Drosophila melanogaster: one gene and its partners. The protein of the gene in region 1 purifies or fractionates together with the protein of each later gene. This does not show direct contact. Each region holds a gene or a part of one and is shown on either strand. Other genes may lie near its edges.

Region 1 (8,490 bases):
AACTAGCCTGCATAGGCAATCACACTTGGACTCTGGCAAGGAATTTTCGAATTTTCGAGTGGGCGGCCGCCAAAAGGCATATTTTTTGTTTTAAATCGAACCGAGAGGCGCCAATGATGCAATTGCAATCGTAACGTAATCAATTGGTCAAGTATTGCCCCGTTAACCGTTAGCTGGCGATCAAGATCTGCGGTTAATTAATCCAATTACAATTAGCATGCTAAGCGAAATCCTAATGGTCATTAAGAGAAGGCAATAATTAACCACTTTAGTGGTCGCGGTTGTCACTACACAACTGTCACAACTAACAAAGAGCTTAGCCACACAATTGTTGCTAATTCAACGAGTTCTATATGAGTTTTATGGCCTGGTTAGTGTGTTCGTGACGTTAGCAAGTGGCTGTCGGAATTTTCTGGGCTATGGGCCGCCTTTTTTCCTGCATATTTTCCTTTTTGCCATCCAGCTGCTGCCACGAAAAATCACAGAAATCTGAACGAGTGTGTGCAACAAGTTTGTTTGCCGCTCATGCAACCCGCCAGATACTTGTCGCTCACTCGACTGCGAGTATTTGGCTACAGGTTGCAACTGCCGGCCGAACTATATTTAGGCCACCAACCAGTTGTGGGTGCGGATAAGAAAGCCGTGCCGTTATAGTGTTACGAAATCCATCCAGCAATGGAGCGGTATATCTTTTTATTTTGCTTCTATGGCTTCGAAAATGGATTGCAAGTGTCCACGGAAAAACGCCCTGTTCTGTTCGATTCTGCAGAATGAATCACACTCGACTGCAGAACTTGCTCTCGATCCTTCGCCGGAACACTGACCTTATTCAACAACTCATCGCCCACACGAGAGTGGATGGCTTAAATGATGTAATGCTTATATACACTTGCAAAAATATCTGTATGCGGATTCACAAAAAAGTCCAACTTTTCTACACACCTGCTCCATAAATGTGGTGTGGCATTTTTATATGCTTTTTATTGTCAATAAAACTAATGCGGATATGGCAAATTTTCGAGCAATAAACGATCTATTTGGAACTACTTTTTATTATCTTTAAGTTACTCAACTTATAATAAACACTTAAATTGAATAATTGTTTATATAGTATAAATTACAAAATTTATGAAGTCAACATTCTTTATATGTAATTAAATTGCACAGAAGTAGCTTGCCATGGTATTTAATATGCTTTTTATTTACCAGCAACAATTTACTATTTAAATAGTTCATCATATTAAGTCAGATAGTAGTTATCCATAATATGATCTAAAATCAACTACCTTTGAGATGCAAATTGGCAAACTTAGTTTCCGTGTGAACTAAAAGTGAACTGCCTTCGCCTTGCCAACGAATGAAGTGCGAATTGCGTAAACCACCAATAATAAAAGCAAATCCAACGCAGTGGGCCAAGTTGAACTCGATTCTGCGTAGAAACCAGAAACAGCTAAGTGCGTTCGGCTCAAGTGCAGTGAACCCGTTCGAAGCAGGAAGCAGCCGCAAAGTGCGTAAACTTGAACTTGTCGAAAGGGGGCTGGTGGTGGCGGTTTAAGCCAACTTGCATTCGGTAGCCGCGTCATGCGTTCTTTGGTTTTGCGTGCACGCAGCCGCCGATCGAGTTAAGCCCACTTGTGGCTAGCAAAAGAAAACAAAAAGTGAATGGCTGGGTCTAGATTTATGGCCAATTGCCATGGGGCTTGGCTGCCGACACGACACTAAACAACGCGGCAAAATGTTTCGCTGCCGTTTGTTTAGCTGCCACTTGGCTCCCCGCCCCCCAACTGAGTCGACTCCCCCTCCCACTCCATTCCCCATCCCCTTTCTTGGCCTCACGTTTCGCCGACAATTGACACTTTTATTGAAAGCCTAGGCATTTTTCGCTTATCATGTTTTCCGTCAAGTCTATTTTCGGTCAAAATGTTGGGGCATTAAGCCAGTATATTTAATATTTTTGTATTGAACTCACCATATGGGATACCCTGAAAATTATAATTTTAAATGTCTTATAAAAAAATATATAGACATAAGAAAGAACGCTTGAGTCGATTTCCTCAACTATCAGTTACTCCTTACTCAGCCGCTGGAAGTGCAAAGAAGAAAGTTCAACTATATTTTTGGCATACTGAAATTATTAATATTTAATATAAATTGCAATTTACTATTCATATATTTCACTAGATATAACAGCATATAGTCCTATATATCCCATCGGAATCGGGATCATCGCCTAACGGGTTTCAGGGGTCTGCAGTGGGCGTTAAGGCGGATTTGATCTGAACCGCATTACTTTGCATGGGCATTACTTAACTTCATCGCGGCCATATCAAGTTTGTGCACATTTTTCTATTAATAATTGCAAGTGCGAGTGTGCGGCGATCAAGGCAAACCGCCCCTGCTCCAGATCGAGTAGTACTCTCGTTTTCAGTTCAAAGACCAGTTCGGTTCGACGGCAGTTTGTACTATGAGTTGGCAACAAAGTTGTCCAGCTGCCGAGCAACTGCGTCTCATTTCTGGAGCGGCTTTTTGTCAACGCCCCTGCTGTAGCGCCGGTCTGAGGCCCCGGAATTGATTAATTACTGGCATCGGTAATCGGCCATCGATCGAGATTGTTTTAAGCCATTTAGCTGTCCAATGTTTGCTGCACTTGAAGGCGTGGGAGTTGGGCTAAGGGTGTGGCTTCTAATTGCCGTTAAAAAAGGTGAGTCGATCCCCTGGTAATTGCGTAAAAATTATTTGAAATAAATATTCTGGGACCACGATCTAGATACATCTGCTAATGGCATATAAATAGTTACTTAAGCGCTAGCAACCGTAACTAAAACGCCTTTCAACTGTTTTAATAACATTTTTTTATTCAAAAAGAAACAAATTTCCATGTGACAACAGCGGGGTGGATAAATATAGACCAGAGAGTAAAGCGGAAAGCGATAGACTGGATAGGATTGACTTAGATTGCTGAAGAAATGAGAACCCAACGGGATCTCAGCAGAGGACAGACCTTTCGGTAACTTAAAAAACCAAAAAATGTGGTAAAGATGCGAGCAAGTGGCGGTCAGGATCAATGTAGGGGTAATCCAGAAGTCATTTCAGGTGATTACCAGGTGCCTGGTGCGGGTTCCAAGTTCACGGAAGCAGCGGACTGCACATGTCCTGGCAGAGGAGCCACATGGACAGCTCCACGGGTCTTGGCCACATAGCTGGCCTCCGGAGCGGCGACGGCCACCACGGCGGGGGCGTGGGCAGCAACCACAGCGGCGGGAACGGGAGCGGCAACCACCGCTGGTCCAGACTGGATGAGCACGGGTCCGGCTGGGGACAGGGACAGGGGAACGGCAGCGGGAACCGCAGATGCCTGGATGGCCACCGAACCGGCGACGGCGGGAGAACCGACCACCAGACCATGGGCGGAGGTCAGGAGAGGCACCACCGAGCTGTTGACACCCCAGGCCAAAGCGAACAGGACTACGACAACGGCGAACTGAAAATAAGAATCTTGATTTAGATGGAAACTCAGGAACTATGATAAAAATAACTTATTTGAAGTTTTTTTAATTTTGGAGTTTCTCTGAATGGGGTCGTAATGTGTTCAGCGATCTGATATTAATTTATGTATAACTCGATAAAGATCTTTTATGTCTACTTTTGCAGCATACCAATTTGTATAGAAATGTTTTACTAAAAACAACATAAATCCCTTCATGTTGTCCTTTTACATAACACTAGCTGTAACTAAGCTCCAGTTATCCGATATCCCTTCAATCTCACCTTCATGTTGGCTTTTGTGATCTCAGTGACGCTTGAAACGAAACTAACTGACATCTGCCCGTTGGCCAAGTGCTTTTATAGCTCCGATCCATAATTTCATTTAGCATATAAGGCCAGTTCTCGGATTGATCAGCCATGTGTATGTTTGCTGCACAAATGCGGAAACCGGGCCAGAGAACAAACCACGTAATACCTTCAGTCCCAACCCCAACCCCAACCCGAACCCCTTGACCTTCCCGAATCAATAACCACAATTCATTGACGACAATTCAAGTGCGCGACAATTAGCCACACCGGTTGACATGACGAAAACAAGACTGGTCTCATTTGATTCGGCCAATCCATAACCATGACTTCAATATCTGTATATGATATACACTAAAGCCATGTCTCGGGTGCCCCTAACAACAATGGATAGGCAAATTACAAGCCACCGCAGCACCACTGTGCCTCTGTACCACCATCGCCCCACACACATTCAGCACCACTGGCTGTCCATTTAAATTTCATCAGCAGAATGTAATTAAATTCACTTCGGTTAGCTCGCCCTGAAATTAATGTGCCGGCCGCCAGTTGTCGGCAAACTGATCCATTTTGGTCACCGACTATAGATTTCTCGATTGCATTTGCATATCACTAATGCAGTCAACGCCAACATATGTCCAGGAATACCATATAAAAATCAGAGTCCATATGTAGGAAACGATTTCACTACAAATATTACCAATCCTTAAAATATGAAAATTAAATTTTGTAAATTTTATTTGGTATTTAAATATAAAATAATGGTTTATAATTTAATATATGTTAAGTTATACCCCCTTTTGTAGAGTAATCCGTAATTGTATATATAGAACATATTTATTGATTCCATTAAGAAACGATAAGTAAATCAAACCACTTTCGCTTTTAAGTCGGAAAGCAATTCTACGTAATAAATTACAAAACATTTGAATATCAGTAGAGATTGTCATACGTTTAATTTTTTCTAAGTAAGAGCTGTACATTTTAGGGTAAATTTTTGTGAAATTAAAAATTTAACAACACTATATCTTTCATTTAACAGTCAATTAAAGCTTTTGTCAAAGCAAAATCTTCAGTCAGTATACACAAATAACTAATTCCGTTTCAAGCAAGCATACTTTATATTTTCGAGTACTATACTTGATGTAAAGAACTCCCACTGAGAAGCAGAATCAGGCTTGGTTCTAGAAAGGATTCGGAGGCTTTAAAATGGCACGCCTGGTGTTTACGGAGAAAGATCACAATGCATACGATCCCAAAAAGTATAAGGTAACCACTGCCGGAATACAGTCCATAAAATGAGCATTAATCTCCAACTTTTATGTTCATCCAAAGGTGGTGCACAAGAACCACTGGCGACAGGTCAGCCTGCTGCTGCAGCCTTCCAACAAGAAGTGGTGGGAGGATCCCGATGTCATTGTTGCGTGAGTAGAGAACATTGAGGGTCGAACCACCAGCCAGGTGGGCGGTGGGGAAGTTTGAGTGGTTGGCACACGTGTGTCAGAATTCATTGCCGTCAAGTGCTTTTCGTGCTGTTTATGGCTACACTGAGAGGAATACTTAGTAATTGTAGGTAAATCAAAAAAGGATTTTGCATCAAGTGAATAGGATTCGGAATCAAAAAAAATCTTTTGAATTTAATCTTGAAATACAAATTTATACCTTAACAACACAAAACTCCTTTCCAAAATTAGCTGCTTTTCTCCTGTGCACTCGAGTTGGCCAATTGGTTGGTTCGGTGACTCTGACACCGATTGGCTCCAATGCAGCGCGCTGCCATTCAATTAAGATTCTTTGCCACAGCCGCAGCCATAATATTTTATTGCATCCATCAAATTGTCAGACTTACACATAAAGTATTGGCCTGCCACACCCAGAAATATTTCCATGCCAATTAAATGTGCGATGGGGAAATATTCGCACTCAATTGCATCACATCGTCTGATAAGATTATTTATCACTAATCCATAAACTAATCCTGCTGCCCAAACTTGTCAAAAAAAAATCTTCTTCGGCTTGAGTGGGTGGTTCTAATTTCCGGACAACATTCAGTCACGCGATGCTAACGAAGTCTTTGATAGATGGCTCCAACTTCTCGAATGCAAATGAACACCCAGAGGCGCGAAGGGGAGAAAGTGCAGCCATCAGCTGTCGGCGAAACTTTGGCAAGTAATTGGGGAACAGGAGTGATGGAAACGGGAAATTGACTTGGTTATTCTCACTGGGTCGCCGGAAAACTCACGTTTCGCGGGTTGCCTTGCTTTATGTAGCACTAAAGTCGGGAATTGTGTGGCACCAAGGTTAAGATTCTTGCCAGATATGGGGTAAATTGAAACTGAACGGACTGTGTCCTTAGAAAACTGCGCACTTTTGAGCTTGCATAAAGCAAATACCGAGAGAAAAGTTAAAATATAAGGGTTCTTAAGTGATCTATTGTGAAAGAACTTTTGCAGTGCAACTAAAGTGCTTTAGATAATTATGCACCAAAGAAGATGCATTTATAAATCAATAGAAGAAAAAGCTAATTTAATGTATTCAATTTTCTATTAAATTGCTATCTTAGTAAAACCTCACTGTATAGCGAAGGTACCCTACGAAATGGGGCTAATGTCAAAACAGTGTGTGGTGGAGAAATCCATTGGGCAACCCCTCGCTCCATTAGCATGGGTTTCACTTGCCTTTTGTCTGGGCTGCGTATCCACAATGATGCGAGGTGCCAGGAGGCGAGGGCCCACCCAAAAAACAATCGCGAACGGGGTAATGAAAAGGCATTTGGGTGTGGGAAAAAAGAAATACCATATAATACACCAATGCAATGCCGACACTTTGCGTGTTCAATAAAAAGGAAAGCGGCGGCAGGCGGAAAATGGTGTCAGTGCGAGGACAACGAAGAAGGAAAGTACTTAAGCGGCGCGTCACTCAATCAGAATGATATTATTTTTAATGGCGCAAAATGGATACAATAAACAGCGAGTACGAGCGCGTGGCTGCCACGCAACGGACACGCCGACGGTGGTGGCGCCTGATCCCACCTAGAATCAGAGAATCACCAACAGAACCAGAAGCACAGCCAGAATCGTGTGCGATGGTAGCCATATAAAGTTCGGTCGTCGCAGGATGAGGACGAAGTTTTAAACGGAATCGGAAACTTAATTACATTTCAATTTGGGCCTAAACAAACTGTTCCGCATATGTCACTCACGGCCATGAAGTCTGATGCCGCCGGGATCGGAGTGGTGGGCGTGGGCGGAACTGTTGCACTATCCGATTCCCGGGAATGGGCACCCCCGCCGCCGGGCAACCGATGTGCCACAGTGACTATGCTCCTGGCCCAGCGGATTGCACGCAATGCTTGCTGGTCAGTCGACGAGGAGCCCTCGTACAGTGCGAACAAGATGAACGTCTGGCAAACGCTGGAGTACCTCTCGGGGTTGAGTCTGCGTAAGAAGTACAACTACGAGGGCTTCTCGGACACCCAGAATGTGATCAGAACGCTCACGCCATCGTGGCGGCGCGATAGTTTTGCCGAGAAGGCCAAGGCCGAGGAACTGACTGGCGGAGCTGCTGCCTCGACGGTCAAGTACACCGATGAGCGCTCCTCGAGTGCTCCCATCATTGTCATCCAGGATCCGGGCATAAGTACCAGCTTCCAGAGCAGTGATAACGTTGCCTTGGGCGTCCGTTCCAGGGCAAAAAGTCCATCTGGTCTTCGCAGGAAACATCGCAGTCGGAAGCGTAATACTCCGCAGCTAGATCCTGAGTACGCTCTCTCGCCGGAGGATCTGCAGGACCTAGTCAAGTGCAAGTAAGACTAATCCTAGAGATTTCAATTCAACCAAAAGTTGCTGTTTTTGCACTGTGAGTCTACTTTAATTTATAATTATAATTAAGAATCAATTCATTTGATCCGCTTTAAAAGACATATCACTTAGAAAGGCTCAAGTAATTTTTCTAAGTGTAACAATTCATAAAAGCTTTTTGCAAAGCTTACCAGGAACAAAAACCATTGTGGGCTATAATAAAATGATATCCAATACTCAAACCCTTGATTAGAACGCATATCAATACTTTCATAAATATACATATTTCAGTGCCCAAATATGTTTAAAAAAAACAACAAAATTTAAAAAAAATCCATTCTATCCCATATTTTCTGTTTCACAAGCAATATGAAGTGAATAACAGCAGGCAAAATGGGATTTGAAGAACAAAAACATAGATTATGTTGCGACCTTCAGTCGAGAGAAAAATGCCACCAAGGAAACTGGCAATGCTTGTAAACAAAACTAACTGAAATTGAAAATGACGACAGCGGGAAAGTGCATTTATATTCCACCGAAGGTTACACATTAAGATTCTCAGATTCTCAAAGTTATTTCTTGGGGCTCTTTGGACACGAATCGCGAAGCCGGAAGACGTTGCAATTAAAGTTGGCGGAGCAGGTGAAGGAGACCATTGTAGAAGTGGGCGAACCGGAAATCAAATGACTTGCTGACGGGCTGCAAATGTGAATGGCATTTGTGCTGCCATTTTTAGCTAACAAATTTCAATTGTTTTTAAATCATAAAATTGAACTATCAACTTCGAAATCATTTATTTTCTAAAATTATGAAGTAAAACATTAGCTCAGCTAAATGCAGAATACCTTAAATGTAGGTATCAGACATATGAATTGGTCTTGGCATGATCTCTATAGAG
Region 2 (4,320 bases), 6.2 Mb from region 1:
GGCCTACTCACTAAATTTACAGTTTTAAAAACATTGTTTGCGAACAATTACTTGACGCACTGTAATGCAATTCAGAATAATTCCCAAAATTTATAATAAATAAATAAATCATTGCATAGTTGTGGGAATATCCTTTGACTAAAATAAGCTGTATTAATCCACTTAAGAGTAACTCCACACCCCCTCATAAAAATTAATAAATATCCATAAATATATAATATATATATATATTATATATAAATATATAATATGTAAATATATAATATGTAGTCCTTTATGGCTACGTTTTAACTTGACAGATATATAACTTCTGTAAAAAAATGTATTTATTCCAAAATAGCAATGCAGCAATACAAATTAAGCTTTCAGCTTAAACAAAAGGCTCATTAAGTGAAAATACCCTATATACCTTAAAAATATCCTATCGAACTTCTATCTTTTTTTTTTTTAATGGAAAGCCCAGTATTTCTGAAAGTACAAGTCTTAAGTTTTTTTTTTTTAATTTTCGTTTTATTTACATTATTTAAATATGTACAAATATTTCATAGAAAAGAAATTTACGTGAAAAAGTCGAAGGAGCAACTCGTCAGCAGTTATTTCTCTGTGATTGTCTACAAAAGAACTGTACACTCGATGGATTTGGATGCCAGGAGACAGGCACTTTTCAAACGCCCCGGATGGGTTTTGGCAAGCTTTCTATAATGGATTGCGTCAGTTGTGTGATTTTCTCCTGGTTCCGATCCTTCCAGAATTTCGGTTGGTATCACAAACTAAAACTAAATTTGTAAGTCGTACGTTGGCGGTTGCTGGGCGTGGAAAGAGAGGGAGGGGTGCTTGATTCTTAATGTCTGTTGGATACTTTCGACTTGTTGGTTGGTTCGCTCGCCTTCACCCGACTTCACTTCTCGCTTGGCCCTCGACAGCATTGCGATTTCATCTACTTTTTGTGGAGGTAGCCACCGTGGGCGGAGCCGCCGTAGGAGGAGCTGCCGTAGGAGGAGATTCCGTGTCCGGAAATTCCGTATCCGGAGATTCCGTGTCCGGAGTAGCCGTGGCTGATGATGGCAGGAGCAGCGGCAACGGTGTGGGTGACGGCCACGGCGGGCTTGACGTGGCTCTCAACGTGGACAGGCACGGGCACGGCCACCTTGTAGGGCACTGGACGCTCCACATGGACGGGCACCTTGTGGATCACACGCTTCTCGACGGTGTATGGCACGGGCTTCTCCACGGGCACGGGGTATGGCTTGTCGACATGGACGGTGTAGGGACGATCAACTGGGATCTTCACGGGCACACGGATCACCTTCTCGACGGGGTAGGGCTGGGGCACCTCGACGGGCACCTTCACGATCTGCTTGACGGGCACATGGACGATCTTCTCCACGGGGTAGGGCTGGGGCACGGGCACCTTAACGGGATAGGTGACGGTCTTCTCGACGGGGTAGGGAACGTGACGCTCCACCTGGTAGGGCACCTGCACGGTCCTCACCACGGTGTTGGTGTGCACCTGGGTGGGCAGCTCAGCGACAGCGGGAGCCACTGGAACTCCAACACCGATGCCGGATCCCAGAATGGCGCCTCCCGCCGATGGTCCGTATCCGTAGCCCAGACCGTGGCCAATGCCGCGCTTCTCCTGCTTCTTCTCGGCGGGCTCGGCGGTCTCGACGGCCTTCTTGGGTGCCTCCTCACTGGCGTTGGCCACCAGCACGCACATCGCCACAAGGCCGAAAATGAGCTGCAATGACAAGTGGGTTAAATTCGATAGAAACCCAATTGGCTTGGTCGGGCGGTTATGCAACTGCAGCCGCTTCCGGCTCCACCTCCGCCCGATTACTCCATAATTTGGAATATGACAATTATGCAATGTTGGGTGGAAAGTTGGCTGGGCAACCAGCCAAGTTCAATTGTGGCCTAGGCCCCCTGACATATTGGGCATGCGGCGTATACTTAATGTGGCTTGATATTTTCGCAATAATTCGGTTAAAATACAAATTGGAAGAAGGCAAATTCAACTCTTTGTAGTTTCGCGTTCAAAGCTTTTTAATACGAATCTACATTTTTGTTTTCTTTTTTAAATGCTAAAAACATATTCTAGGACTGCCTATCCTTTTCGGGTTAAAATGATCCTTAACACTTTTCGATTTTAGTAATTATGAAATGTGATTTCTTTCAATAAGATTTAAATGTAGAACTGGTAATGGAAAAATTAAATATTTCAATTAGTTTTCTCTCTAAAAATCCTTTCTTAAAACCATGTTCATATTTACTTGGGTAAACCAAAATGCCACAAAAAAGTAACATATCTAGAGACATTTTAGAATATCCGTTCTATCCTTGCTTTTGAAAGAGCTGATGAAGTCGTGCAAAAACCTTTTTAAAAATACTTTAATTGCAACACCGATATGTCTACATTGTTCCATAAATATATATATATATATTCTTTTGCAAGTCACTTTAACTGAATCCGAGTTTTTGAAACACAATTATTCTAAGCAGCACTTCGAAGGAGAACACACTGAGCTCAGACCGAACATACCATGGATTTCATTTTGCACTAGGTTAGCTCCTCAACACTTTGCGATCAAGATGGGCTTGTATGTCTCAACCAACCCGCAACAGTTAACTGAATAATTTCGCACAGACGCAGCGAGCTTTTATATGGCCGATGCTGTGGCGGGATTGTCTTCAGCCGCGGCTGCGCAGTCGACGTGAATCGAGATCGCAGCAGCCGTGTTGAAAAAGCTCGCTCTCCATCCGTTCGACAGCTCCTCTCTCTCTTGGCCAACTGTCCGTGTGAGCCCGTGGCCCAAAGGAAATGCGTCAGCAAGCGAGCTTTTTCGAAAGAGGGTGCCTCACACGGACAGTGTCCATGTTGTCCGTGTGATCTGCGCCTGTATGAGTGCGTATCTGTGAACACTCGAGCTCCAACTGTAGCGATCTTTGGGAACTACTGAAAGTATTCAGACACCAAGTAACTGGGGGCACAGTTTAGTAGAAAGAATCGTTTCTTGCCAATAGCCAACATAACAAACATAGCAAATGGGTAATTTCGTTTAATTTTGCCTTAATCTACCAAAGAGATCCAATCAATTCTTTTGGAGAATCGCTCTTAATTGTACAGTTCAAACAATATAGACTTTTTTAATCATATACGTATGAATTTTAATCAACGACTTTAGAGTTTTAGAGTCTCAGAGTTTGTTTCTAGAATATTCGAAAAGTGATAAATTTTGTATTGTTAAAATTTTAGTAAACAGCTTTAAAAGTCCTTAGAAAGTTTATGTAATTTTAGATCGGAGCCCTTCCTCCGACGTCTTTTTGCGCAGTTAGTATTGTTATATGTAGCCATTATTATATTATCATTTTCCCTTTGTACAAATATATCTTATTAATATATTTTTTGTAAAAATCTCACATAAATACATGAAGTGTTAGTGTTTGTTTCCCAGGTAAAATTACATTAATGAACACGACAAATAAAATAAACTACTTGTATTTCTTACCATTTTACATAAATCTTTGGAAATCAACACATTCGAAAAGAACATTAATTATAAACATAATAATTATTCAATTAAAAATTAAATATTAACAAAGTTAAAAATGAACATAAAGAGTTTAAAATTTATGGACCATAAATAAATGAGTAATTTTTGGCTGGTAACGAAACCTTCATAATTATTAAAAAATATATACATTAAAAAAGAGATCACAAATACTTTTCTAATGCATAATTTTGACTAGTCCTTAGTGTTGGGAAATTTTTGCCCCAAAGCCTTGAGCCATTAATAAATAACTGACCGCGAGCACTTCAGTCACATAATCAAATTAGACACAACGGGCAAAGTGTTCCACAGCCATAAGTTAAATTCACATTAGCCACACATTTCCGAAAATTTCAGGTTACAAATCCAGTTGCAGTTGCAGTTGCATATTGAATGTAAATTGCTTGGCTGCAGAAGAAACATGCGCCGCATAGTCTGCTTGATTCTGTGTGGCTTCGTGACTGAACTTTTGATCTCGGATTTGTGTTTGGCTCCGTATTCTTGTTTGCTTCGGTTTTTTTTTCTCAGCTTTTTGGCCAGGCTGAGCGGCGTTTTAAGCCTTGATATGGGTGCATTGATTGAATGCTGTGGCAGTGTGGGTAATTTGACATTTTAATGCTGCAGAGGAAATACTCGCCAATGGCCATGTAAATGGAACGTGTGAACAATGAGTGGACCGCAAAACGCGCACAAAGGAGAACAGATACGGGCACCAAATCATGTTGGTTTTATGTGCATTAATTTAATTGTGGACATAACGCCGCGGACATAA
Region 3 (7,827 bases), on another chromosome or scaffold:
AGTACGAACCACAAGTCGGTGGTCAAAACTTCAAATGAGGTAATTAAGGTGGAAGGTATAACTTCACACTTTACCGAAAAAAAAAAAATTGTTAACAGTTTAAGAACTCCGAATCAGTAAAGTAAAGATGTGAATGCTTTTGTGACTCCGTTTGAAGTCAAGAAGTCAACCTATCCAATCTTATTTTTTATTAGATTCCAATTCAGAATTGCTGTAGTCGGATAGATGGTGTTAAAATTAATAAGCATATGTATTATTTCAGACATCTTCTAAATAAATTCCTCAGATATAAGATATGCACCTTAACACACCCCTCTCTTCGGATCAACATCTTAAACTCTTCCACCTCAGAAGCCATTATCATGTGCACTTCATTCGCCCAAAGCCATGGATCACATTTACGAATGCACGCGCTACACTGCAGCAACTTTTACTGCCGCCGCCACCAGCTGCAAAAAAGTATAAAATATAAGACAAAAAAAAAAAAAGCAAGCAAGTGGCAAGAGCTGCAAGAAACCCATTGCGATCACGTTCCAGGCACCTTTTTATGCCTTATGACTCTGATTGATGGCCGTTGCCGAAATATAAATGCCAAAATATCACACGCCAGTTAAAAGTCGATTTATTACCGCCGCCAACAAAGCCATTTTCGTTGCTCTCAATTAGCCGTGGAAAAGCCCAAAAGTTGGCCGCGTCTTGTGCATCGCCTCCAAGTCGCCCAAAAGTGGGCAAACGTGTGCATGGAATTGCTACCATAAAATCTGGTCCAGAATCTGTCGTAAACAGGCGAAATTCCCGCACGGGTTGCCAATTAAATTTGGGTTGCCAAATGCGCGACACGCGCTCATCGAAATTGTCAACACAGGAGCAGGACGCTGAAAAAAAAGAATAACAGAGGAAAATCGAGGACGGGAAAGCCGGGGAAATTAGCATAACAAAGTGGCTAAATCAGAAATCGATATGTTCACCTTCGCTGAACCGAAAAAGGGGGCACAGATAGCGGGAATTTCCACGCACGTTTTTCTTTTTGTTTTCCTTTTGTGTTCCAAGTGGAGCACACGCCCAGCTTTTGAGCTGATTCTACTCCTCGAGTGGTTGCTTCGCGTTTTCCCCCATTTTCCATACAAATTTTCCACACATTTTCCGCCGCCGCTGGCAACAGGTGCTCTTGAAACGGAGCCGCATTGTAATGTAATGCGTGCTAAATCGCTGCACGTGTTTGGCAACAACAAGTGCGAATTTGTATCCCCCATCCACCACCAAAATAATACTTTGTTGCAAGCTATTGAAGTTTCAGCTGATTTGATTCACTCAATTGATTGCACACAACCTGTTAGCTGGAAGATATGCTACAAATATTATTCAAATGGTTTTTCGTTTCGAGGAAACCGTTGAATGTATACCAAATCATAAAATTATTTTCGCTCATCAATTTTGAATATGTACACGCTTTCCTTCAATCGCAATTTCATTTGAATTTCAATGTTGCCCCACCATATTATTTATACAATGCGATAAAGCTCCTTCTTGCTTATACGCAGTGAGGTCAGTCGTTGAACTCGGTGCAAGGACTTCCAAGGTCAGAGCTGCATTTAATTATCGGTTGCAAATCCATTTCACAAATAACAATCGAGTTACTGCTGGCGATGCTGGCGTGTGGGTGTGCGGATGATTTTGCTTGCAGCTGGTCAATGTCCTGGGCAAGGTCAGCGGAAAACGTGTGTAGTTCCCTTTTCCCCAGTACGTGCCTGTCCTGCGGCCAGGAATAAGTTTCCCGGAAAGGAGCTTGGCCCTTTGAAATTAATTATCCATGCTTGGAATCGTAACTTGCCAGCAGAGAGAGAGATTCTCGTTTCAATGCAGTTTTAATTGCACTGCCCGAGGGTTTGGACTTTTAGTCTTGAATCCTGGAAAAGGTCCTTGCCCTGCCTGAAATCAGTGACTTGTTAATAATTTAGAGCACGAGTAATGCCAATTCCACTTGAATAATTCAATTAGCATACTCTCGGGCTAACCAGATATACTCTACTCATTGGAAGGGGGAAACCGAGAATTAAGCATGTAAGACTTTCCACTCAATCTGCAGGGCGGCAGGTAAACAACAGGTGTGTTGCATTTGCGAGGTTGTGGGAATCTCTTGCGAGAGCTGCAATTGTGCCATGAGAGCACCTGCCACAAAATGCATCCACTTAGTGTCAACCGACGAGCTCGAATGAATATTCAATGGCCTGGGAGATGTAGGAAGCAGAAGTTGTGGCCCACCTTTTGTCTGCAAATAATCGAAGGTCGTTTGCCGAATTTTCGCTTGACTAGCTAACGGTATTGCTGTCTTTATAAGCTATAAGCCCATAACTACGACATGGTTTATGAACAGGGGGACATAATTTATGCCGAGCTGAACTGAGACAAATTAAACCTATAGCTGGGCACAATTGAGTTGTATGGCTGTCAAGGTCGAAGAGCTGCCAACAATGGCCTATTGTTATGGGCGATATGAATTATATTTAGCAACCCCACCCATCATCTTATGATTTTCACTCGGCGAGATAACATTTATTAAGTAAAATCGTAAATTGATTTCCATTACGCCGCCGGCAAAGCGCAATACACGACTTTTCAATTTTCGCATGAATTATAGTTGGTATTTTCGGTCCAGGATCAGCTGGCCGGCGTTAAAAAGGTAATTAAGTGACTCAATTCACTTTTCAGCAGCTGTTGATGTGCTCCCATTTTTCATTTGCGAAACTGGGCGAAAAGCATTTAGCTGCGACAGTTGGCCGGCCATTAATAAAAAGATATTTCAACGCACTTTTCACTGGTCAACCTGTTGACAGGCGCACGCGTTTGTCGCTTGAGTCTTTCGTTTCCCCGCAATGATAATTGTTAGAGGAGGGGGGGGGGGTATAGTGAGCAGGTGGGCCGGGCAAGGCGTTGCAATAAAACAATTTTTTTTGGTATTTGGTTTTTTCCTTGCAAGTTTCAAAACACCCGACGGGAGTCGATATGAATCGAGCAAGTTGCTCAAGTAAAATTAATTTGAAGTGCAATTGAATGCTGAATGGCGATCGGATGGTTGGGGTAAGTTCGCAGTTGAAAATCATTGAACAAGCAGTTTTTTGTGAAATGCTCGCATCTACGAACTAGCAATACTATCTGGAATCCTTATAAATGCGAATAAAACTGATCACTTCACGCTCAACTAAACTAAATTGAAAATAATTCCACACTTCATAAATAGACATTTGTCCCCTTAACAATTAGTTTTGAGTTAAGTGGCTTACATTGCGAAATGTGTGTGTGTTAAAACGGCAAATTAAAATATTTCCACATTACTCTGAAAATTCATATTGCTTCCAAAACGTTAGGTATCGTAAAGATTTCATTGAATTGTGTGTAGTAAGGCATATTTGGATATGGATCTTAAATATCCATCCGTCATAATTTCAAGTGAATATTTTTAAACTAACATATATAAGCAACCAGTAAATGAAATAAGCCATCATATTCGTTTAAAGAGTCATTTATCGTTTATTTACAAAATGTTATGAAGCCACAATGCATGGAGTTGCACCATAATAACAAAATCAACGAAACTTGATCCTTCATCAATCTCTCTCGCTCTCGCCGCCTCCCGTTAGTTGTCCTTAGTTCTCTAGTTGTCTCTGTCTCCAAGTGGGTGTCTGGGTTTTTGAGGGATTTTGTACACAATTTGTATTTCCGCTTCTGACTACGAAATGCAAATTCAACACTTTGACGGCAGCAAAATGCGAATTATCCGCTTAATGTTCTCACTTCAATCGGGGTCGTCAACGGGGGGCTGGTATCCTTTCCGACATCCAGATCCTTAGTGCAGGTAGGCTCCGTGTCCGTAGCCGGCGTATCCCAGACCGTAGCTACCGTAGCCGCCATAGGATCCATGGTAGGTGGAGGTGGAGTGCAGAGCAGGCACGGCATGGACCAGAGGAGCGGCATGGACCACTGGAATGGCCTTGGTGGCCACCTTGTAGGTGTTGGCATAGGAGGTGGCCACCGGGTGGGCGACAATGGGAGCGGCGTAGCTCTTGATGATCGGGGCGTGCGAGATCACAGCCGGAGCGGCATAAGCCGGAGCCAAGGCGGCGCCGTATCCCAGTCCATATCCATGGCTGTAGGGCGAGATTACTCCGGCATTGGCCACGGCGCACAGGGCAGAGATGAGGGCAATCTGCGGAAAAGAAACTTCTATGTTAACTTCATACGAGCGGTAATCCTTTAATCCTGATCTTACCAGTTTGAACATTTTGCTGGTTTTGTGTTGTTTGGACTTCTTGACCGAAGAGCTGAATGTGTTATGCTTAGACGTCTCAAGTAGCCCTGTTATTTATACCCGCAACATGAGAAATATTCTGACAAATCTTGGCCCAAAGAGCGGCGGAGAGGGAGAGCCAACACGCCCCTTTCGACGGCCGAGAGCCGAAGCTTTGTGCATTTGCCGACCAGCAGATCGCGAAAGAGATCAGTCACGCGGCGGCTTTGGCTTGAGCCACTGAGCCACCGCCAATTTTAGCCACCGAATCCCCAAGATTTTCATGGAGAACCACCACGAGCACTTAATTCAATTTGTATTTTTTTCGTCAGCTATTGTCGGCGACTTTTGCTCTAACGGAAACTTTTATATTTCCATTCATTTCGTCGTGGAAATGAACAATTGTCTTCTGGGGGTTTCCAGCTGAGAAAATTCTACGGCTAAATCTGGTTTTGCCTATTAGTAATTTTGCAATTATTCCAGTGATCTAAATTGGCCATTAAGTAACATTTCCTTTGAAAGAGCACTTAAATTTATCTATGAATATTGTGTTTTATTCAAAACCGTTGAATTCACGTGTTCAAATTATTTAAATATAAGCCTGCAAGCCTATTAAGCATATCTGCCTAAATCCTTTCTAAAACCGAAAACACGCACTTTATTATCAATCAGCTGACTGACTGACTGACAGCTCATTAGAGATATAGAGATCCGTAGGTGTGGAAAATGTTGTTGTCCAGATGCAAATGATCAATCGGAGCTGCCTCTCCACGCAGCAAATAAACTCAAGTGGTCCATGAAAAATTACTCACTTTAATAACTGACAAACACAGAGTGGAGATTGGTGCAGTTGGTCATTTTGGTGGCTGCTGGACGGCAGCTGGTTTGCCTATATTTTGCATGCATTAATATTTAACTGATTTGTTATCGCGCACATGGCGTATGCGTAACTTGGGTGGAAGGAGCGTAGTCAATTGGAAACATAGGTAAATCATATTTGCCGCATTTCGAATGGCCTGCCAGATTTCCTAATAGCCATGCTTAATTCTGAAACAGCTTTGAAATCATATCACGGGATCAGTCAGAACACGAGGCTCGAAAAGAATTGCAAAATGCTTGTTTTGAGCCTTGAATATCGGTGTATTGAATCAAAGAGTTGTATAAAAATCGAAATTCTCTCAGGGCGAACAAAGACCGACTTAAAGTTTATGAGTCATAAATTAATAAACAATTACGATGGCGACAATTCTTTCGACTCAGCGACCCTGGCCATCGTTGCTGATTGGACCCCAAATGGACAATCTGCATATCAACGGGGCTTAGTGCTAGTCGAATCTAAAACTAAGCCGAACCCTTCACCAAAGCCAACACCTCGTGATTTCGACCCGTGGCGTTATGCAAATGCTAACCAAATTGTCGCATAAATCTCAATCGAAGGCGGCTTGATTGACACCAAACAGGATGCCAAATTGCGTGGCTATCTATCGATCCGCAGCTACAAAACCAAATATGCCACCCACTCGGTTGTTTTGGATTTTTGGTTTTATTCGTGCTGGTTCCGATTGCAGCTGACCACCAAACTCTGGTGGCCTGTAATTGCATTTTAATGGCCTACCAATTGCATTCTGTTTGTCTGCTAGCCATTGAGCAACGTCCATCCAATGCATACATTCGATTTTGATTCAGATTCGCATTTCCCAAGCGACGCCCAAAATACTTTGATTGCCAACAAATCATTCAAAAGTCGAAATTAAAAGCCGTCAATTTTCCAACTCAACTCGTGGCTCAACTCAATATTTTTTCCTTTCGTGATTTATGCGATTTTTCTGGGGAAATAGTCGGACCTGAAATTTGTCCGCCCCATTCTGGTTAAGGAAATTTCCCAAGTCGCAAGTCTGGAGTTCGCAAATGGAGCAGAGGTGACTAGTTCGACTTACATGCATTTGATTAGACCAGCTTGTGACCGCAATGAGTTATTATATATTTTTTGTTATAGTTTAACATAATTGTCGGTTGGGTGGAGGCCAATTTGCATAGCTGACTCCCTCCCATCTGCGGATCGCTGGCTGTGACTCGAGTGTGGCCAATTAAGTATTAAGTATACCACATGTTGGACGCCACTCGGTCAAGGCCGTGCTTACCCCAGCCTTTGTCACAATGTCGTGCACATTACAATGTGTACAGCAAAGCCTGACTATTACTCGTTTTATAATGATTAATACCAAGAGGAACAGCGACAACAGCCAAGTGCAAAACTGTAACAATGGCTGGCAAAAATCACATTTGCGTTTACTTAATTACCCTGGAAAACCCTCAGCACTAAGATCAAAGTGAGTCTAAACCTTCATGTATTTATTTTTAATTAGTTTGCAAATATAAATGCATACCAAATCCGTGGAGTAAGCTTTAACTTAAGTTAAATTTTAATATATACGTATACTTAATATTGTAAAAACCGTATTAGATACAACTCCAAAATCAAAGCATCGTATCAGAAATTTTCCAGAATAAATACAGTTTCCTTACATTCCGTAAATCGTTTCGTAGCCCGACTATTACGAGTGGGTATTTTTTAATGAGTCTGAAATATCATTCCGTGATTATGTTTCTAGGGTACCAATCAACGCTTTGTTTTTCCACCTTCAATAAAGCAAATGTCAGGCAGACACCGCTGTGAAAAGCTCTAGAAAAACACACTGGCCAACGTGGAGCAGTGTTTTCATTTATGGAATCAAAGTGAACTAAGGTGGATTAATCCCATCCTCCCCCTTTTGCCACCCTTCCTTGGCTACTGTATTATGCCAGAGCTGTTTTACCTTCGACTCAGCCTCGAGGTTGGGCCAACAATTATCATTTGCAAAGTTGGTTTCATTTTGCTTTGAAGTTCTTTTTTTTTGTACGGGGACATGGCGCAATGTGGCTCATAGCACGTAAATCGTTTGTTTTTGTAGCTAATTTGGTTGTTTTGATCAGCCTGCTGCATGCTAAAACTATTTTGGTCACAGATCATTTGACAGCTTCACTGAATGTTCGCTCTCTGGCTGCCAATGCAAATAGACCAAAATCTGCTTCATAATTAAGTAGTTAAATCGAAGCCGAGCGTTTCCACTTTGAGTTGCACCACAACAACTGAAAAGGCAACAACATGCTGAACAACTCACGCCCCTTTTGACGCTCGTAAATTAGAGTTGTGTGTCGCCAAATTGTATGCAAATCGTTTGACTCCCAGTTGCGGAGATTTATGCGAGGGGCTGTCCGAAATAATTCGTTACTCGATTAGTGCTTTTTAATTGAATTTACTTCTCATGTGGGTGCACACTTCGCATTCCCCTTTTCCCCAAGTTTTTTTTTTTCTATTGTTGTACAAATCCAGCAGGTTCTAGTGCATCTAATTTGACTTTCACTTTTTGCTGCCACTGATTGCTGTACGATCTTAGATTGTTCTAGAGCAATTCGGTGACTTGTGTAGTTACTCACCCTGAACTTGTGCTGAAATCAAATTACTGGGCGAGATTTTAAGCATGATTGCACACCTGTGAGGG
Region 4 (9,813 bases), 7.2 Mb from region 1:
ACTCGGCACAACTGATCTCATCGCATCTGGCAGATACCACGTATCTGCAATTCGTGACTAAGCTTTTAGGTAGCAGATACTTTAGATTCAAGTGGCAGGCATCTCAATGCAAAATTAGTTTGGTAAACAGACAAATATATGCAAATATTTTTGTTAAGTTCATTGGGTATTTAAGAGTATCACCCGGAAATGTAAAATGTATAAAAGTTAAGTAATCTACACGGGGAACGACATAATGTTCTTTTAGAAACAGAAACAACCCAAATTGATTTGACCGCTCTACAATAATGTTTGCAAAGTTAACAAACCAGAAATGAGACCTAGAGCCGGATCTAAAGACAAACAAATTACCAATAAAACGCTACGTCGAAATCTTTAGATGCCATGTGGGGGGCTTGAACAATTAAGAAACCAAAATAGCAACTGAAACCGGCGAGAAACCATCATCAGCTTCGATTGTTGATTTCTGCTTCTGAAGCAATGACGTAGGCAAAAGTTATAATTAAGTGTCGATAAAATTGAATGGATTTAACACAATGGCTGCACGGTCGTAGCGATTTTATAAATACCCTGGCAAAAATGAAAAACATATGCTAATGGCAATCGAGGGAGGAACTCATGTATTACGTATAATTCAGTATATGTTATCTTGGTAAATGAATAAATAAATACAAAATTATTAATCTAAGGAAAAATACCCAAGAATGTATTACTACTTTTTCACTAATAAAATAATGATTTGATGACCTGTACCATTTGTAGTCTGTGTATATTTTTGACTTTAATGGCCCACAGTATTTCATCTTCATATTTGATAAATAATAACCTGTGTTGCTGAATTTAATACTTAACCCCCCACACAAACACACATCTCTTGATTGAAGGAGTATGGAAATTGCGCATACGCAACGTGTTACGTGCTTAGGCACGCGGATGTAGGTATCTTATACAGACATTAAGCTTGCCCTCAGTATGCTTCAACTGGGTTTTCCCACTCAGCACGAGTTCTGACTTGTGAAAGTTGAGTGGCTCGAGGGTAAACCAACACGAGGAATAAGAAAGAGAATTATACTCAGATCGCTGGCTTAAGGCTATGAAGTTGGCCAGTTCCGCAATGATTCTATTGTTCCTATTTTTAAATTTGTTTGCAAACCATTATTTCTTCATTAGCCGGCGTTTATTGCGGCAACAAGTCATCTAACATTTATTTTATCATTCAGTCTCATTCATCAAGTCTTAAAGTTCACTTACCAAACTTGTCAAGAAGAAACCGGCATACAAAATAATTGTTATTAACTTTTCGTGTTCACTTTGTTATTTTTTTTTATTTTTGTATAATCCAATTTTGATGTCCAATTTATAGCTTCGAGTTAGCCGTTAAGACGTATCTAAACAATCAAGAAATTTGCATTTATGATTAATGAATTAAATAATATAGACAGGCACAAATTTTACACACACATCGGTTATGCTTGTTGAAATATTTTGCCGAAAATATTCTTGTTTTCACAGCTGTGAACATGTATTCAATTATTTGATTTTAAACGGTTTGATTTATTCGAGATAAATTTATTAGAGTTATTTTTGAACTACATGTTCATTAGGATTTTTTATACATTGCACTTAGTAGATTTATTGCTGAGTTATATAACGAAGCTTTTGTTTTATTATATAGATGTAATTTATAGATTTCAAATAAATACATTTGGTTAAATTATAATTTTTTTTGTCGAATTCACCACTGCCGTAATAAATAAATGTTTAGAATTTATTAAAGAAATTATCCTTTGTTTAACTTCTATTAATTAATTCCGTATATTTAAGAAAAATGTTTTCCTTGCAGTTGCAATTTGCTGTTGCTGACTGCACCCCCATTGAGTCAATGGTTCTTTTTCCATTTTTTTTCATTGCTGCTGCTGCTGCTGGCAGTCAACCGGTTTAACTAGTCAAGTCCGCCGCCGCCGCCAGACTTTGCACATAAATTGCATTTTATTTTAAAAACCCGGTAATAAATTGTTTCATTTATAATTAGAATTTTTGCCAAGCTGACAGTCCGTGAAATCATGTTTGAAGGTGCGAATACCAAACATACTCGTATGAAACTCCACTTGCGGGAGTTCTCAACTATTTTGTTATGGATTCGATATCGTTGTGGTTGTTGGTGCTGCCCCTCTGGTTGACCTTCGCATATTTTTCGGACAGGAATTTGTAAGTCGCTACGATTCGCGTCAGTTTATTGGCTCAATTGCCTGCAAAAACAATGAACGTCGACGTCGGCGATGGACTTGGCACCAAAACGTAAGGTGCGACGCATCGCATGTGGAAATCTTCGAGCACATTACGTTATTACGTTATAAGCGCAAAACAAAAGCGACAACCAGCAACAATCGGACAATGGGAAAAACAGACATTACAGTTACAAAACGAAACGGAAAATATGCGACGAGTAGCACACAAAAGACGCCGGCGCACAGTGGTACAGTTATTAAAAGGATGGTAACATAATAATCCTTATATTGACGTATGAACATTGCAAAATTCATATAATTGTTCTTAAAACATCAACAAACTAACTTTTCAAGCAAATATGAAAACTGAGAGTATAACAATTCATAAACAAAAATAATAATAATAATCTTCAAATATCTCAGAGCTTAGCCATTCTAATTGGTATCACTTCTTTTAAGATTTCATCATAATATCTGAAAAAATTGGGTAAAACTTTTATTGTAACTAGTCAGTTAGTTAGTTATTGTGACTAGTCACCTGGTTTTTAAAATATATTATATATGAAACAATACGGATTAGTGAAACGAATTATTTGCTGAGCCCAAAGTCACGATCCACAATTTTATGCTCAAGAACATTAAATAGCAATAACCCACGGTGCAGCAACGCCCCACAAAGCAAGTGAGGCATCAGCAGCACCAGCATCCAAGTACCGTATGCAGCACACTTGCTGTGCGCACTCTCACTCTCACTTGCTCTCTTTCCCAAGCTCCAACCTCCTTCCATCTTGCTCCAATAATCTCTCTCTCTCTCTCTCTCTCGCACTCGCTCACACTGCCACAGAGACTGCAGCTTTTATTTTCAAGTCCAACGAAAGTGAAATTGCTGGCGCACCCCTTTCCGCCCACTATACCCCTCTCTCTAACACCTTTGCCGGTGGATTGAGGAAATGAAGTAAACATGAAATTGACATAATCAACACGCAGCTGGAAACTCTGCAAATGTCTTTTGACGAGACAGAGACAGCAAGAGAGGCACCAAGAGCTACAACAACAGGTTTCTGTGTCGCCCTGTTGATATTGCTTTTGTTGCTGTTGCTGTAATGCAGTGAGAGAAAATAATTACTCGGAATTGTATGATTTATGTCATATATGAATATTATGAATATCTTGATATTACTTTTTGTAGTACTGTTATTTATCAATATAATCCTTACTAATATATTAATAAAAATATTAGTAACTGTTTAAAACAATTTTTTCCCGTGCTAGCTTTGTTGTTGCTGCTGGCGGCGTGTGTTCAATGAGCGCTGGTGCGTGTAAATATGTAAGAGTTGCCTTCAACCGGCTTTTTCGTGCAACTTTTTTTTTTAGTTTTTTTGTAGCAGTAGTTTTTGTTTTCATTTTTGCGCTGGTCAGTTTGGTTTGAATCATCTGGCCATATAGGAAATGAAACGGGAGATGAAGTAATCCCAACGCCTGACATGGAAATTACATAGGCAAAACGCATCACAAAAATCAACCTGATGCACACACGTCATACAAATTCAACGACAACTAAAAGGGCAGGCAGGAAAATACAGTAAAAGGAAGGGGTATTAAAAAAAATACGCTCTTTATGTACGCTTTCGCGGAAAATACAAAAAAAAGGTTTAAAATTGCTGGAAGTTGTTATAATCAATTTTCTTTTTCATGTTTTAATAAATATCGAAATATCAAAGGTTTAGTTACTCCTGTTACTCCTGTAAGGGTAATAAAACATTGTGTTGGGTAATACTAAAGGGAAAATGTGCATTAGAAATTACCAACACAATTTTCCCGCTCCCACCCACACATACACCCATCACACATACGTTTGAGGAATGGCGGACTCCCTCTTTAGATGTTTGGGAATTTTTTTGTTTGATCTATCATATTTTATTTTTAGTTCTCGGTGTCTTTTAAGTCTCGGCAATCAGTTTGTTACCCAAAAAAATAAATAATTTATTATCCATTGTTCAGCATTCTATTTTTGCTTGAGTATACCAAACTATTTATTTACATATCTTATTGAATTTTTGATAATATGGATTTTGGTATTTTTTTATTTATATTTCTACAGAGAAACTTTTATTTGTATTGCTTCAGAGAAACTTATTTATTTTTGTTATTGTATTGCACTGAATATTTCGCACTTTAGTTGCAAAAAAATAAATTGCAACATTTAATTGCAACCAAGTTGATTAACTTTTTTATGTTTAAGGCAAAAATTTGCTGGCTTTAATTATATTTTATGTGCGCGCAAATTGTTAAGGTTTTTCGACACTGTTGTTTGTTTTAAGCTTTTTTGTTTTATTTTTGCAGACAACCACGAGGAGCAAAGCATAAATAACTAGATGAGCTTCAAACTTAATACCGTTATTTGCGTTATTATAACGCGGCTTTTGCGGTTTCTTTTTGTTTTGGCAAACTTATTTCGGCTTGAATTTTCGATTTTTGATTTTTCTCCACTTTTACGAACACGGTGGTTTTGTGCATGGCATAACACACAGACAAAACAAAAGCAAACAAATAAAAACACAATTCGATTTCGTCTTCGCTGCCTCTCGTTGTTTTTTTGTTGCAACTGATTTAAAATGCGCAGGCGCGGCGGCGACTTACAAAAATCTGCGTCCGTTTCGAGAGCTTGCCGTCGATCAACTGAACGCCGAGAGCGGTGAGCAAAAGACAAAACCTTCCCAAAAGAGAGCAACAGAGCGCCAAAGCTCCAAAGCGATGGGAGCTTTTTGCTCGACCGCTAATTGCAGGCTTAAGTGAGTGTGAATTTATGAAGCAGTCATGTCGGAAAGTCAGAAAATCAAAAAAAAAATTATTAAAATAAAAAATATCAAAAAATCCGACAGGGAACTTGGGCTATATCGCCAGGGCTATTCCTGATCAGGGACCTTGTCCGACTCTAGGCTGCCACACTTTCCAACCGCAAACTGGTTCATCTTGGGCCTGGCCTCACACTAAATTCACAGCCGAGCGGCAAATTATATACTTTAATCAGCCGGGCGAGAATAGCATTGGCACCTGTCACGAGGAGAAATAATATTAGTATAAACAGCTGTGCTCCGAAAATATTAGAACTTGCATTGTTACAAAAAAGGAAACAAAATAAAACTCTCAAACGTAATTTTATCATCTGACATTTTAATTTGGTTGATATAAATTAAGGCCCACTTAAAATATTAATGTATAATGCATTACTGGACATAAAAACAAAAGATTTATTTATAAGGTAGTATGTTAAAATGAGACATTTATTATTAAACCAAAATAAAACTTAATGAAACGTAATTGCATTGTATAATCAAAAATGCAATCGTTATAATATCAAAATTTCAAATTTTAAATTGCAATTTCCACTTTTCATACAACATTCTTTAATTTAAACAATTATGTCAGAAAAAATAGGTGCCAAATATTGGATAATATTAAAACGAATCCTCAAAAACTCCATCTTCGCAGCATTCCAACTTAAAAACCCCCAATACTTTTTCCTTTATTTAGTTATTTGCCAGCTGCTACTATTGCTAATTCAATTAGCATAGAGACCCGTCTGGTAATTAATATTTAATTTGCTAATTGAATTTTTACTAGCGACTACCGTGCCACGCACCAACGCCAAGCCAAATCACCAAGTTAGCCTCCGTGATCTCTGTTTATGTCCAGTCAATCCATCCGACTTGTGAATCTCGACAGTTGCAAATTTGGCTGGTCGACGCCAAAGCCACTTTTCAGCCGCAGTATGCTAGATCTTGTTGTCTTTGCCTTAGTAGTGAATCTTTTATGATGTGCAAAATTAGCCATAAAAACATACATAAACAAAAATGTAAATATTGCTGTAAAATCAGTAATTCATTATACGTAAGGCTCTCTAGAGTTTAGCCGATGTACTTAGTCTTTGGATTTAAAAAAGTATTATTCTGTGTTTGGAAAAAAATGTGGTGCTTAAAGCTGGCTGAAAAACTTCTAAAGTCGTATAACTATTTTTACAGCATGCAATTTATAAAGGAAGTATCTAAACTACTGAAATATTTACTTTATGTTAAAAATGCTTCGAAAAAGGTTTTTAAAACTGGTGTTTAGTTTTTTTTTTTTGCTTATTGGCAAACGGACTTCATCATAATCGATTCCCTAGCTACGAATAAACTTCCGCTACGCAGTCCAATGATTCATTCCCATTAAAATAAATATCTTGGGGCAAACCAATTCTTTTGACTGCTCTCACAGTGAATTCGTACACATGTTTAGTCACCACGAGTTCGTCGCCAAAGTCTTTTGTTCTAGCGTCATTTATATGCAAACCTATCACCTTGATGGGCGATAAAAACCAGAAAAGTCTGAAAAACATAAACAACAGCATCCCGGACCAGTGCAGCAAAGCGGTGACCACAAAGTTGAAATTAACGAAAATTCGCGCGGCAAGGTCAGTTCAAAGCGGTCAACGACTGCAGGCCGCACGGGAATGGCCAACATGAAATGCCCTTTTTCGAACAACAAAAATTTATCGATTGCAAGCAGTAAATAAAAATTATTCAGCAATAAAAGCGAAAAAAAAAAATTAAAATTAATCACTCGACAAGAGGAGATAACTTCTGAGCTACGCATAATGCGGCTACCGTTTAAGACTTAAATGAAAATATAAAAAACAGACACAAAATCCGGATGTGTCGCGATGCCTACGGATTTGGCGCGCCCAGACCGAGGACGGTCGTTGGTCCCTGGGGCCACAGAATCGCCGACGAAGTAGACCACAAAAAAAAACGACGGACACCGTACGTGTCCCATATCAGGAATGCAAACCACGCGGCGGTCACTTTCGGTTGGACATTGTTTCTGTTATTGCCGATTTTGGAACTGCTCGACTGACTCAGTTTCGGCGAACCTCCACTAAAAGCATTCATAACTCAACTGCCAGCTGTCAGCGGCAAAAAGAAGAAAAAAAAAAGCAGATACAAAATATCCCCAGGTTTATACCACGAAAAAAAAAGGGAAAGGGCAGTGTAATGGAAAATTATAATGGAAATAAAGCGAGTGCTGATGCTCTCGGAGTTACTTTGCAATCGTCTCAAGTTCAAGGTCTTCTCGATTTTGCCGTTCAGTGCGATGATAGTGCATTAAATGTGCTGCGATGGGAGATTGTTGTCTGTCGATGGAATGGTAATTGTAGTATAATTATAATGGGCTTAATGGAAGCCGCAGTGCTTGCGATGGCAAATAAGCAGATTGCTTTTAAAAATTATAATAACTTACTGGATTTGCAGGGCTTATGAATAAGCTATGATTAGTAAAATGTTGCAAACGGCTTAAGATTTTCTGTATTTTGTATTATTATTAATTGAGTGATAAAATAATATGTTTATTTCACGCTCCAAAAGGTTTACCCGAGTGAAGCGAACTATGCGTCACTAAAATTGACTTAAAACCAAATAAGGAAGTAATCGACTTGAATGTCAATTACAATTACATACGCACTCAGAGACATGCGCCGAGTAATAAATTAATCAAGTTGCGCATACGCCATGTAAGCCGGCCGACAGTCGCCGAAATTGAATTCAGTCGATTCAGTTGCCTTGATTTCAGCCCGACAAACTATAAACAAGCGAAATATACGTTACGCACAAATTAAATTCATGAAGTTCAAACTCAGAAATTCCAGCAAAAACAGTGGCTACCGACGAATTACGTGGCATGCGGCATGCCTGCCGCCTTTTCAGCCCCCGAATTCCCACATTTAATACATTTCGTTTTTTTTTTTTCTTTGGTCCGAGTGCTCGCAATGAGGAAGGTCAAGTGCAAGCGCCAAATGTGTTTTATATTGTTTTTCACATTAGTCTCAGCTTTTTGTTTAATTAATTTTTAATACAATTTTGGCCGGTGGCTTGTTTTGTTGACGAGCGCGTTGATGATGTGACAGGCGGCGGCACACACACACGACTTGGGTGGTTCTGGAGGCTAATTGTGGCAGTTGATGGAAGGGGGGCACTTAAAAGGTGCTCGGGCGCCACAGGTGCGACCTTGACGAGGTGGCAATGAGAAGAATTGGTAATTTTGAATTAAATAAAATCACTGTTTAGAACTACAATCCATCAAAAGTTATCTTCATTGATTGTATTTATTGGTAATCAAAAATGGTTTACTCTAAAACTTATATATACAAATGAGGAGTATTTAAATATAAATCAGTATATTTGAAATATGCTTACTTATATAAATTCTTAAAATAGCTCAAAAGTATTTAGTTGTAAGAAGTATGGCCAGGTTTTCCCTTGCTGATTGACCTCGGATGCGATACCCTTGCCACTAGTTCACAGAACCCTCACAAAAAAATTACATAGCCACCATTGACCGCCACTCTCGTTGTTATCGAATGTTTAAAATCGAATTTAATTACTTCCACCCACTAACAACTTCCGAGGCACACTTCGCACGGAAGCCTTGGATACAATAATAAGCCCAGCCATTGAGCACGCTACCTATATGGAAATATATGCTCATACAAACTGGAGTTTGATTGTCAATCATTGTCAATCAATTACCAAATAGTGGGCCACCCAGCGAGAAACCAAACGAATGTGACACTGAGTCGCTGGAAAACCTTTAAAGTTCAATCAACTGACAGACACAAGAGACTTAATCACCTGTTTATCAGCTAAGTGGGTTGGAGGGCTTATAAACCGATACCGATATCATATCATTTTATATTATATCATATTTTACCGAGCGCGCTGAAAGGCGAAAAGGAAGTGGAAACAAGCCGAGTCACAACAAGAAACCAAATTGAATCAAATTATATATGTTTAATACCCGAAATCCAGACCGATCCAAATACTGAGACTGAATCTAAATCGCTGCTCGTGGCTCGAGGTTAGCCTTGCCCATGGCATACAAAGCTGAAAATTGAATTTGGCTTATTTTTTAGGTCTCTCGTCAGGTTCAAAACTATTAGCGCCCGCATGCAAAAAGAAAAAAATAAAAAGAGTAAGCGAAGTCCAATAGAGCAATCAAAATTGGAACAATGCATTAACGTAAGGCAAATAAGCTACGAGAAATGCATCATGACATATATATATTTAAAGTATAGTTTTTAAAAAAAGGATATGACCTAATTAAAAGAACTCCTTGTCAAAATTCTGTTCATTCAAGCCTCTTGAAATGGCACTTAATTGGTCAGCACAGCAAAGATCAGCTGTCCTGAACTCAACAATGTGATTTACAACTATGTTCCACACTGTAGCTGCTGTTGTCAGCAATGTTGTTTCTGGCGTTGTCGTGCGTTGGTTTTTTGACAGTTAACTCTCTACTGGTTTTGATTTTTTCGTGTACCGAACGGGGGCCACTTGAAATTTGATTATAATCGATTTTGGCAAATAAGAAGTAAAAAAAAAAACGGCAAAAAGCAAAAAAAAAAATCACGGGCAATCGTTATTTAATGCGAATTCAGCCTCGGGGCAGAGTTAATGTTTTAATTAGCACAACTTGGGCAATCTGAGGTCGCTTTTTGGGGGCAAAAAGCAACAAATTGCAGCATGCCACGCCCATTCAAGCGTATCCCAGA

Evidence for each region.
Region 2: the proteins of CG7203 (region 1) and Vajk2 purify together in Drosophila melanogaster (affinity purification with mass spectrometry, with the first as the bait; one large-scale study listed by BioGRID). This does not show direct contact.
Region 3: the proteins of CG7203 (region 1) and CG4962 purify together in Drosophila melanogaster (affinity purification with mass spectrometry, with the first as the bait; one large-scale study listed by BioGRID). This does not show direct contact.
Region 4: the proteins of CG7203 (region 1) and mol purify together in Drosophila melanogaster (affinity purification with mass spectrometry, with the first as the bait; one large-scale study listed by BioGRID). This does not show direct contact.

What each region holds. Positions count from the first base shown.
Region 1 is NT_033779.5:7,749,334-7,757,823, forward strand, and holds CG7203 (uncharacterized protein), read right to left. Parts: upstream 3,854-8,490; 5' UTR 3,775-3,853; coding exon 3,769-3,774; intron 3,482-3,768; coding exon 3,098-3,481; 3' UTR 2,837-3,097; downstream 1-2,836. Other genes in the region: CG46025 (uncharacterized protein), read left to right, coding at 6,984-7,597.
Region 2 is NT_033779.5:13,932,059-13,936,378, forward strand, and holds Vajk2 (Vajk2), read right to left. Parts: upstream 2,635-4,320; 5' UTR 2,552-2,634; coding exon 2,540-2,551; intron 1,739-2,539; coding exon 938-1,738; 3' UTR 501-937; downstream 1-500.
Region 3 is NT_037436.4:16,291,205-16,299,031, forward strand, and holds CG4962 (uncharacterized protein), read right to left. Parts: upstream 4,344-7,827; 5' UTR 4,280-4,343; coding exon 4,268-4,279; intron 4,205-4,267; coding exon 3,845-4,204; 3' UTR 3,507-3,844; downstream 1-3,506.
Region 4 is NT_033779.5:14,992,648-15,002,460, forward strand, and holds the start of mol (moladietz), read right to left. Parts: upstream 4,913-9,813; 5' UTR 4,869-4,912; exon of another isoform or gene 4,067-4,868; intron 1,389-4,066; 5' UTR 1,252-1,388; intron 1-1,251.